Saccharomyces cerevisiae S288C: one gene and its partner. The gene in region 2 interacts genetically with the main gene of each other region. Each region holds a gene or a part of one and is shown on either strand. Other genes may lie near its edges.

Region 1 (3,054 bases), on a different chromosome or scaffold from region 2:
TAAATAAAACAAAGGGATAACGGACAAAAAGGCATCGTTTCTTTTGTACTATGATTTACGCAAATGGTAATTAATTAGAGGTATGCATATAGTTTTTATAATTGATTCAATGAATTTTTTGTTATCGTTTTTAATTTCGAGTAATTTCAGGTAACCAATAAAGGATAAGATCACTTTCCAATCGTTCAAGTTCTGAAAATCATTAGAGCTGGAAGTTAATCCCATTTCCTTCGGCAAATTGGCAGGTATTCGCAAATGAGCTAATTGGTTAATTTTCAACGAATTCTTGATAAGCCAGCTTATCGAGTCCATGTTCACTACTCGAGCTCGATCTAAGTTATGAATGTAATTGAAGTTTTTGTTCATTATATTAAACTGATTGAAATTCGTAAATGTTATTGTAAGCATCTTATTAATTTCCAAGTGAATGAGCTGTTCACCCAATTTTTGTAAAGTTTCGTTTCTTGTTTCAAATGTATTTCCTGTGCTCAAGTCTCCAGTCATTGGTACTCGTACCAACATATTCCTGCTTGTGGTATATAGCAGTTTAGTTAGTTCTTTAGTCGGTATGCGTTCCTTTCCTTTATATCCGTCAGGATTAACTTCAAGGACTTCACACAGTTTTTCTATCTTACTAATATTCTTTTTCGTCACCGTGTTTATAGTTCTGATGGGAATATACCTGCGAATCCCAGATATTCGAGCAACAGTAGTTGCAAACACTTTTGTCCTCAACATGTCGAGATTCATTATCTGATTTATTCTTTTATCCTGCTATAAAGAAACCATAGAAGAATAGAAGCAAAGGGGTAGTACGTGGCACCTCCTAAAGGTAATATTGTACTATTCCTAGTTCACTCAAGGTCTGCCTGTCTTATTCTCCACATACATTTTCTATAACTCTTTTTTTAAGTTTGTTTTTATTTTAGTTTGACACTACATAAATATGTAAAACTATTTTTTCAAATTATACAAATAGAAAATTATGATAAAGGTCAAAAAGAAAGAAAAGAATGACTTGTCTGTTTTCCTTCCCTACAAACTCTTGCAAAAGTAATCAATCGAGGCCAGCACAGAAAAAAAATAAAAGATAAATAAATAGGAATAAGAATATAATGCGAAAAACAATAGTGGTCAGGTTCGGTCAGTTCTCTTGCTTTTTCCTCTCAGCTAGCTCTGCGTAGAACTTCTCTCTCTTGTTAATCTTATCCATGTGGAATCCCCACCACCAGTAAGAGGCCATGACACCCCCGAGGGAGAACCCGAGGACGATGTCCATGATGACTCTTCTCTTGATCGTACCAGTAATTGGAGCAATAGTCATGTCTGTGTAAGTCGCTTGTAGTTAGTAGTTTGCAAATATCTTGCTTGCTCTAATTCTCGGTCCTAATTTTCCCTGAAGATAAGAGTCTCTTTCATCGATTCTTTTAATACCACAGGAACAAAGCGGGCATCGTGGTAGCGGGCCAATCAGGTTGCAGTAAATGAAGAGATATAGAGGAGGACTCTGCTAAAGACCATAACAAGGGTCTGCAATGATCTTGGACTAAATAAAGGTGTCTTACAATCCAAAAGAGCTTGAATCATTCCTTTTATGAGCTAAATAGCACCGTTTGCACCTTCTGATAACGCTTTACGGGTCACGCGCGGATTTTGACTCACATAATTCCACTTGCCCATATAAAGAGGGACTCATATGATCTTATGAAATCTTCCTTCAAGCAATTGTGAGACAACAGACGCACAAGGAAGATCGCCCAGCATGAGTATGTTATCTAGAAGATTATTTTCCACCTCTCGCCTTGCTGCTTTCAGTAAGATTAAGGTCAAACAACCCGTTGTCGAGTTGGACGGTGATGAAATGACCCGTATCATTTGGGATAAGATCAAGAAGAAATTGATTCTACCCTACTTGGACGTAGATTTGAAGTACTACGACTTATCTGTCGAATCTCGTGACGCCACCTCCGACAAGATTACTCAGGATGCTGCTGAGGCGATCAAGAAGTATGGTGTTGGTATCAAATGTGCCACCATCACTCCTGATGAAGCTCGTGTGAAGGAATTCAACCTGCACAAGATGTGGAAATCTCCTAATGGTACCATCAGAAACATTCTCGGCGGTACAGTGTTCAGAGAGCCCATTGTGATTCCTAGAATTCCTAGACTGGTCCCACGTTGGGAAAAACCAATCATTATTGGAAGACACGCCCACGGTGATCAATATAAAGCTACGGACACACTGATCCCAGGCCCAGGATCTTTGGAACTGGTCTACAAGCCATCCGACCCTACGACTGCTCAACCACAAACTTTGAAAGTGTATGACTACAAGGGCAGTGGTGTGGCCATGGCCATGTACAATACTGACGAATCCATCGAAGGGTTTGCTCATTCGTCTTTCAAGCTGGCCATTGACAAAAAGCTAAATCTTTTCTTGTCAACCAAGAACACTATTTTGAAGAAATATGACGGTCGGTTCAAAGACATTTTCCAAGAAGTTTATGAAGCTCAATATAAATCCAAATTCGAACAACTAGGGATCCACTATGAACACCGTTTAATTGATGATATGGTCGCTCAAATGATAAAATCTAAAGGTGGCTTTATCATGGCGCTAAAGAACTATGACGGTGATGTCCAATCTGACATCGTCGCTCAAGGATTTGGCTCCTTAGGTTTGATGACTTCTATCTTAGTTACACCAGACGGTAAAACTTTCGAAAGTGAAGCTGCTCATGGTACCGTGACAAGACATTATAGAAAGTACCAAAAGGGTGAAGAAACTTCTACAAACTCCATTGCATCCATTTTCGCGTGGTCGAGAGGTCTATTGAAGAGAGGTGAATTGGACAATACTCCTGCTTTGTGTAAATTTGCCAATATTTTGGAATCCGCCACTTTGAACACAGTTCAGCAAGACGGTATCATGACGAAGGACTTGGCTTTGGCTTGCGGTAACAACGAAAGATCTGCTTATGTTACCACAGAAGAATTTTTGGATGCCGTTGAAAAAAGACTACAAAAAGAAATCAAGTCGATCGAGTAATCGAA
Region 2 (8,546 bases):
TTGTTTTTCTTTTCTCTGTTGTCGTTAAATGCATGATGATCCCCAATAACTAACCAAAACTTTAAAAGATTTTTTTAGTATCTTTTGGTGTGTTTATTTGCCTGCAATTTGTATACTTTTTTTCTCATCCTAGCTCGGCATGTAGACTTTACATATCTCGACCTGTATGAATTGTCGGTCTTGATAAGACATTCTAAAGAAAACAACACCATACTCGAACTCATGTAATAGTATATATGACTCGAGAAGAAATCAGTACATTTTTTCAGTCGCTTATGCTAAATGTCAGTGATTTTTTAATCAGTTTTTGAATCGACTACTACAGGGTATTGCGCATCCCGATTATTTGATTTCTAGTTACAAATCAACCTGTCAACAAAGAATGAGGAAATTTAAATATATATATATATTTCGGTGTGCGTTTGTGTGGAGATAAATGACTTCCCTTGACAAATTTAAAAGAAATCTCTTTTTAGAAGCATTGTATTGTAATTCCGGGTCAACAAAGTGAATTCATGATAATTTTGGCATTGTAATTTTAGCCATGTAGGGCGTAAAGGTCGAATCTTTAAATTATACCGATATCTTTATCTTGTAATGTTGACGGAAAGAGGGCAGAAAGCCATATGGCTAGGTTAGTTCCAAGAGAAGAGAGCTTCTCACAAAATTCTGCAAAAGCAGTAAGAGGAGAGTTGCTGCTTCATCAAACAAACGTGCGCTGTTTGACTTTCACATGACGACAAGGAGATAAAATATCGCGTGTTATACAGGAATAGCTGCTTTGGCAGGGAGTCAAGCCCGACTCCTAAAGAGTCTCTTCGCGGTATCTTCCTTATTCGAAGACAAGGAATATAGAGCAATGAATCTTCGGTGCTTGGATATGATGTTGTTACTGTTACGATATCTTAAATTCGGGATTAGAATTCTGGATGATAAATGGACCTGTCCTTCAGAATAGCAAAAAAGAGAATCGAGACAACGACAGGAAATACATTGTTTTAAGAACGATAGGAGATTCATGTCTATAAATTGCCTAGATTTTTCCAAGGTACTGCGTAATGTTTCTTCTGTTGGCAGCAGATCGTAAATGACATCGTAGTATAAACCGACAACGCTTGATCTATATGTAAAACCTGACGCAGTTTGATCGAAAAATGATGTTGAAGAATTTAAAAGAGTTGAAAAAGTTATCCGTGAAGTTGATATTGGTATGGATCTGTATGAGTCATCGAAGCTAATCAAGTTGGATAATCATTTTGGTATTAAATTGTACATTAAAGAACAAAGTTCGGGATTCAGCTCGCCTTCATTCAAAATTCTTGGGGCGTCTTGAGGTGTATTTTGCTGTTTGATTGGAAGATTTAGCCTGCCATTACCTAAAACTTCCTTGGATACATTGAAGCAAATTGTCAAATTCCAACACCCGTCTTTGATGCTAGCGGCTGTTACAGATGGTAATGATGGTAGAGCAGTTGCATACATGGCAAAAATCCTAGGCTTAAAGTCTACAATATTTACTCCATGGAATGTTCTAGAACAGAGCGTGAGAACATCAGATCAGAAAAGGGAGCAGAAGTTATCAAAATTAAAGGTAACTATGATTATGCAATAAAAAGTTCTTTAGAGTTTTGTAGTAGCGATCCGACAAAAAAATCAACTTATTCAAGATTTTTCATTCATAGGTTATGATGAAATTCCTAACTGGATTTCTTATGGTTACACTACCTTGTGTAGCGAAATACCATTCGATCCTGCGGTAATATTTGTCCCTTGTGGGGCTGATTCTTTTGCTCAAGGAGTGATAACATATTACAGGTCGCATAAATCGAATACGAAAGTCTTCTCGGTTGAACCAGATACCGCTTACACTGTCAATAAGTCATTGGTGTTACAAAAGGCTTCATCTGATCTAGGAACCTCTAGAACAATCATGGATGAGTTGAACTGTCCGAGGATTTCAGCAACAGCATTTCTTCTACTACAGAAAGGGGCCATCTATTTCCTGTTTAGTTTCCGATGAAGATTGTATGCAAGCAATTAAAACACTAGGCTCGCTAGGAGTAAATTCAAGTCCATGCGGAGCTGTTACGTAAGCCACGTTTATTAGATTCATTGATAAACTGAAAAACATGGGTGAGTTAAAAGTAGGTGGTAAATTTGTGTTGTTGTCTACGGAAGCTATAGGTTATCAAGGAATCTTTAACTATGGGTATTGCTGACGGCTTTGTATCGGGCTTTTGAAAAATACGATATTTCAGAGCCATATGCGCAAAAATATATGTACAACTTCTACTTTGTTGTTTCAAAATTATCCAACTAGTTGTTTTGTAGTTGAAAAAAAACGAGTATTAGCGTTCTTCTTGGCCCTTATCTTATTCTTTATTTTGCCAGCTAAGGTTATTTAAGTTGAAAGATATACATAACGTCATATAAAGTAATCTCTTTTTCAAAATGTTAATTGAAGCGATACACAGACGATGATGAATAAAATCATGTGAGTATAATTTTCCTTATAACCTTTTTTACACGACAAAACCACCGATGATGTTCTGACCTACACTTTCATAATTGCATCCGTTCACCGAGATGCATAGCACCATACGTACTTAGAGTAACCATAGCTATTTACAATAGGTAACAATATACATAGTCTATGGTAGCAGAGTGCGTACGGGCTCTTCGGTTACTGACGTAATCATATTATTTCTTAAACACCAGTGGTTATTTTGCTGCATCTCTATTACGGTATTCTTTTTATTGCTAGCATTTAGCCGCGGAGTGAGATCACATGTCATATTGATATGCCTTTCTCTACTGAATGAAATCGAACTAAAAAATCTGTAGTGTCAAGCTCAAGCCTGGTTCACAAATATTATATTCAGGAACGCAAGTAGATAAAGCAGAATCATTTCCGCTGAATAAGTACGATATACGTTTTTTCTATCTTTATACAATACAAAATTATTACTTTTCTAAATACAATGACTTCATTATGCAGTGTCATTGAAATGCATTCACAATATGGTAAGCCTCTTTATTACAATCAGACATACAGAAAAAAGAAAGATTATCTGCTTCATCATCCATAATATGATACAGCTAGAAAATTGAACCATATATTAACTGGGCAAACATTGGCTACTAGATGGTTGTCTACTCCAGCCTGCCTAAGACAAGCTATAGTCAAAAATTTCATTCATTTCTCAAACAACATTGCTTGGAAATCCAAAAAAAAAAGGAAAAAAAATCAGATTTGTAAAGGATTCAAAGAAATTTCTTCTGCGAGACGTTCAAAGCCTAACTCAAAATCCCTTTTTAAATCTTCAAATTCTTCGAGACCCACTTGTATTCTTAGTGCAAAACCTTTGTAAGGCCATGTTGAAGCTTTTCTAGCCACCCCATGAAAATCCCAATTGCAAAACTTTCATCCCTTCTACCATTTTCTCCAGACCAGCTCTTGTGAACCCATTTTTAAGGACAATGGAAAATAAGCCTGAAGAACCTTTGTAGTCACGAACCCAGTATTCATGTCCGGGACAATCTTCAAAGGCGGGGTGAAGCACTTTTTCAACCTCATCTCGATTTCCGAGCCAAGCAGCCAAATCCAGGGCTTTTCTTTCTACCTCTTTCAATCTTAAGTGCAATGTACGCATTCCTCGCAATGCTAATTGACAGTCCTCGGCACCTGGTAACATTGCCATTGCATCATAAGTTGACCGTAATAGCGGCCAACATTCTTCATTTGCGGAGGCCAGACCAATAAGAAGATCTGAATGACCACCCAAATATTTTGTCCCAGCTTCTACCGAAATATCGATACCATGCGCATGAGCATCAAAAAAGAGTGGCGTTGCCCATGTGTTGTCTAGAATTGTCTTTATCCCATGCTTTTTGGCAACAGAGACCAAAGCTGGAATATCCTGTACTTCCATGGTCCCAGAACCCGGGCTTTCGAGGAAAATGACGGTTGTATTTGGCTTAACTAGTTTTTCTATATCCTTCCCTATTGATGGGTCATAATAATCCGTTTCAACACCGAACTTGGCCAATAAACCATCACATAGCATACGTGTTGGCACGTAGACACTATCAGTCATCAAGATATGATCACCAGCTTTCGAAAGGGCCAATAGCGCCAAAGAGATAGAACCAAGCCCAGAAGCTGATAGCACTGTCCCAGCACCGCCGGTTAAATGCGTCCAGGCATTTTCTAAATTGTCAATAGTTGGAGAACCTGCTGTCCCGTAAAATCTTCCTTTCCTTTGTTCTAAATCACTAAGTTTTTTAAGAATGATGGTTGACCCCTTATACAAAGGTGGATTAACAAAGCCACTTTGTTCATCTGGATTACGTCCAATAACAGACAGTTGCGTAGTAATACCAAACTTCGATAACTCGGTACGATCAATCATTGTAGTGAATATTTTGGTTTTTGCTGGAATTTTATATTCACAGTTTCGAAACACGTTAAGTATTTTTTCATTGTGGTGTCCCAACACTAGAGCAGTCTTTCTTTTTATATGTCCTTGTCTTCTATATTTTTATCAAGGAATATTTAGCACTGATGAGCAAATTGGCACTTTCAACATTATTTGGATGCTACGGCGCCTTACAATTGAGTTGATTATACGGAATTTGAATGCCGAAAAAGAACGTTAAAAAAATATACTCAAAACAAGAGGCGACAATAAAATCGTTATCAATTTTTTTATCACTTTATGAATGTTAGATACGGATTGAAAAAAAATGCTTATCTTTCCGATCTTGATTGCCTTTTTTATTTTCGAGAATAATTCTTTTTTTCAGGTTCATGGCACATTTTTCAGGAAAACTTGGGTTCACCTCGAGCGTGAATATGGTGTGCTAAACTTTAAAAATTTCAGAACAAAGAGACTCTCCAGTTTCATCAGGAGCCTTTTGGAGTAAAAGGACGTTCACTCTTGCCAAGTAAAAAAAACGGTTATGCCATAATCTTAATCAAGCTACACGCAACATTCAAGAGACCAGTGGCTGAGTCACAATATTCTCGGAAGCTAAATCTTAAATCCGGGCTGGTGTAAGTTGTTGGTGAGTAATGGTGGAAAGTTTGGAACTTTTCTCATACGACAATTTTTGAACACGCAATGCCTATGTATACGCCTTGCGCCTAATAGTGCTCCCTATGTGTCGATCTGACCCATAGTATCGCAGTTTCTAATTTTGTGATAGAGGTTCTGGTTATAAGCAAGAAAAGTTTATACTGCTGGGCGCCGCCTAGCATCATTGTCTGCTTTCCAAAGGCATGGAAGGCGGCGGCAGTGTAATATTACCGCGTTATCGCAGACCTAGGGAGAATGTAATTTCTCACGTGTTCCTTTAGCAGCATATTTTTTACTTTTTAAAATAGAAAACAATGAGCCGGCATACCTATGACCTGCGCTCCACCTCATATGGAAACTGAAAGTACGTTTTTTTCTCTCTATATAACACAACTCAGCATCTTAGTCTTTAAAAATGGTTATTCATGGAATGATCAATAATGCACTTAACTGGTGAGGCTACTTTAAGGTCAATTAAGTTAGTAACGTTTCTTTTCATGTTTTCACTCGCCCTCTCTTTTAAATGATTCTTTTGTACTCTATAATTCATTAAAAGATGTTCCTCTTCTTTTTATTCGGAGATATTTTGGTAAATTTACTACAGTTTCCTTTCAGAAGATAGCGATGCCGTACGGCACAGGCGGTGTACATCTATGAGAAATTTGCAGATTAGCCTAGGCCTCTATTGCACTTATGTATATATATCTGACGTGAAAGTTCAGCGCAACAAGGAATGAAGGCAACGTGTCATTCAAATACAGTGGGAAGTCTACACTAATAGCTATGCGGTTTAAATTGCTTAGAATCCATAGCATTGTGGCACTATTAACGAGAGGTAGAGATTGGTATTGAAGGTACACATAACTCGATACTTTCCACCTTTCTCATCAGGAAATATTATTATTACTGTATATACTTTTATGCAAATCCAATTGCCCTGTTAAAAGTCACTATGGGTTGCCGGTATCAATTCTAGTATACACATGGTAATAAATCCGTAGAAGGGCCGACATGTACTACATTCTGTATATATCTCAAGCGTTAAGTGATATAACGATCGTGTTCTTATTTCGCATAAAGTTGTCAAGACCATGAGACAGGTCCTATAGAGGTAGTTTTGTTGATATTTGGGTATTTTCTCTTTTTCAAATCTTTTACCTTTATTTTGCATATTGTACATTCTCATAATAGGGACAAGAATATCCCAAGACAGAAATACGAAGCTAGCAGGTAAAGTACATAAAAACTTACACTAGCGTCAAGAATAACGTGCATTTAATTTTTTTTTTTTTTGGAACTCCTATATACGTAGACTAGAATATGCATAAAGAACTTTAAATATCTAGAACTCACGTTATGATATATTCTTACAGGCCATAAAAAAAATCAAGTCTTGTTTGTATAATCATTAGTTACCGGTGTAAGAAATTGCTGTATTTGTCATATTTGTTAGCTGCTTCCCTTCATTAAGCGATAATATTTCGGACATTATAACGGCATCATTGGCTATGATATACACGAAATACAACCAGCTTCGGTAAAGTATGTATTATTTAGTGATACAGGGCAAAACATGCATGAGAATATGAAGATTTTATTGTGTTGGTAAATTTGAAAGTATTCATATAGAGTATGATTAGGGGTTATTAACATATAAACACCAATGCAAAGCGCCATACAAGTCAGAATATGTCGATTTTTTAAATTAGAGCATTATTCCGCGGACAACACGCAATTAGAGAGACACAGTCTGATAATAAAGTACAAGAAGGGCACACTCCGGTAGTAGAATTCTTTCTTTGCGCGTGAAATATTTGAAACTAATCATTGTATGCCATTCGTTTTCTTATTATCATATATATTTTTCGGTCGCTAAGTTTCCGTCAAAAAAATTTGACTCAATAGTCATCTCCTCTTTCCTTTTTCGAAACTATCAGAAGTGACCATTACTACTAAGATTTGTAATTTAAGATTAAATAAATTCTTCCAGAAAATTTTTCTTGCATGATTGTGCATACGCTTCTCTCGACTGTTTGTTTGGTCTCCTTGTAATATTACGATTATTTTTACTTCCGTTTTATATGTTTCATTATCCTATTACATCACCAACCCTTGAATTTCGCTTCCATTAGATTTGATGACTGTTTCTCATACCTAATGTCATTTTCTTACACTGTATGTGATAATGTACTAGTAACACGATACTACTAAACAGATGATATTTTAGAGTTTCATTCCAACAACTTCAATGCTTCCAATTTATTTCCCCTCATGATAAAACAAGATCTCAGCTTCATTGTATTTGCCTTCTTTTTTTCTTCGAAGCCATTACGTGCGCATTGACGCTGCACTGTCCAAAAAAAACCTTAATTCTAATTTGATTGATTTTCCTTTCCCTTGTTTTTTGCAACTCCATGTATTAATAAAAGAAAAGCCAGGGTATCTTCTGTGAGTAAACTAACGTTTCATACCTTCTGTACGTATTAAGAAATATAATTTCTTCTGTAGCTTGGCATATACTGCAACAAGTCCGTAATTTGTCTTCTATTTGAACTTCTAGCAGCTGAAGATTCTACAAAAGTTTTTCTTTTGCCTTTCGGAATTACGCTTTTGAGGTAAGTAGGTTTCTATGTAAGTGACCTTATTCAGATTCAGAAGAACACTTTGTAGTTTAAAGCTTCTTTTAAAATTTCTAATGCCACTAAACTCTCTATCGGTTGCGCCATAGTCGAGTTTTATTTTACCATTACGTTTTTCTTCCTTTCTTTTTCAATTCAACCAATAAAGCCTCCTGCAACTTTCCTGTATTTCAAAGTTTCGATGTAGGCTTGGTGGTGAACATCAAGATGAGTGAATTGAAAATAAAAATCTCAATCAAACCCATTGAAGCTTTTGCAATTCTAATTAAACGTGCACAGATCTTTTCCATCACGCTAACACATGATAAAAACTTCGTGTAGATCTTTTCGATGAAGAAATCAAATATTGAGAAGAGTGCGTATATAATCAATTAAGAAAAGTAACAAAGGTTGACGTGACTTTACTATAAGTGTATAATACCACTTAGACCGGAATGTCATCTTCCCGGTACTATTGATTGAAGTTTTTGCCTACTGAGTCTGTTTTAATCTTGAACAGCCAAAAATAATCCAATTGTCAATGAGCAGGTTGATTTTTATTACGCTAGTCTTGATGGACATTGTTTTGGCTTTAGACATCATAGAAAAGAGCAAAACAGTTACTGTCTCGACGAATTACCATGAAAAGCTCACCATCGAAAAAGATGTTTATTTAAGTCTCGTAGGTAGCTTTCACAACTTCTATTCTGATATGAAAGTAAACGGTGGTCTCTGTGTGTGTACGGATGATTCATCTATTAGAAAGAAAAAACAATAGTGCAGTAGGAAATTTTGAGAATCATTTTAATACCCTTATGGGTTTGTAAAGGAACACCGTTTGGAATTCTTA

The links.
Region 1: mutations in IRC7 (region 2) and COX9 together harm fitness more than expected from each alone (negative genetic interaction), as found in Saccharomyces cerevisiae (one large-scale study listed by BioGRID).

What each region holds. Positions count from the first base shown.
Region 1 is NC_001136.10:333,073-336,126, forward strand, and holds COX9 (cytochrome c oxidase subunit VIIa), read right to left. Parts: upstream 1,325-3,054; coding exon 1,145-1,324; downstream 1-1,144. Other genes in the region: CBS1 (Cbs1p), read right to left, coding at 49-738; isocitrate dehydrogenase (NADP(+)) IDP1, read left to right, coding at 1,763-3,049. UniProt on the Saccharomyces cerevisiae protein: Component of the cytochrome c oxidase, the last enzyme in the mitochondrial electron transport chain which drives oxidative phosphorylation.
Region 2 is NC_001138.5:260,070-268,615, reverse strand, and holds IRC7 (cysteine-S-conjugate beta-lyase IRC7), read right to left. Parts: upstream 4,413-8,546; coding exon 3,390-4,412; downstream 1-3,389.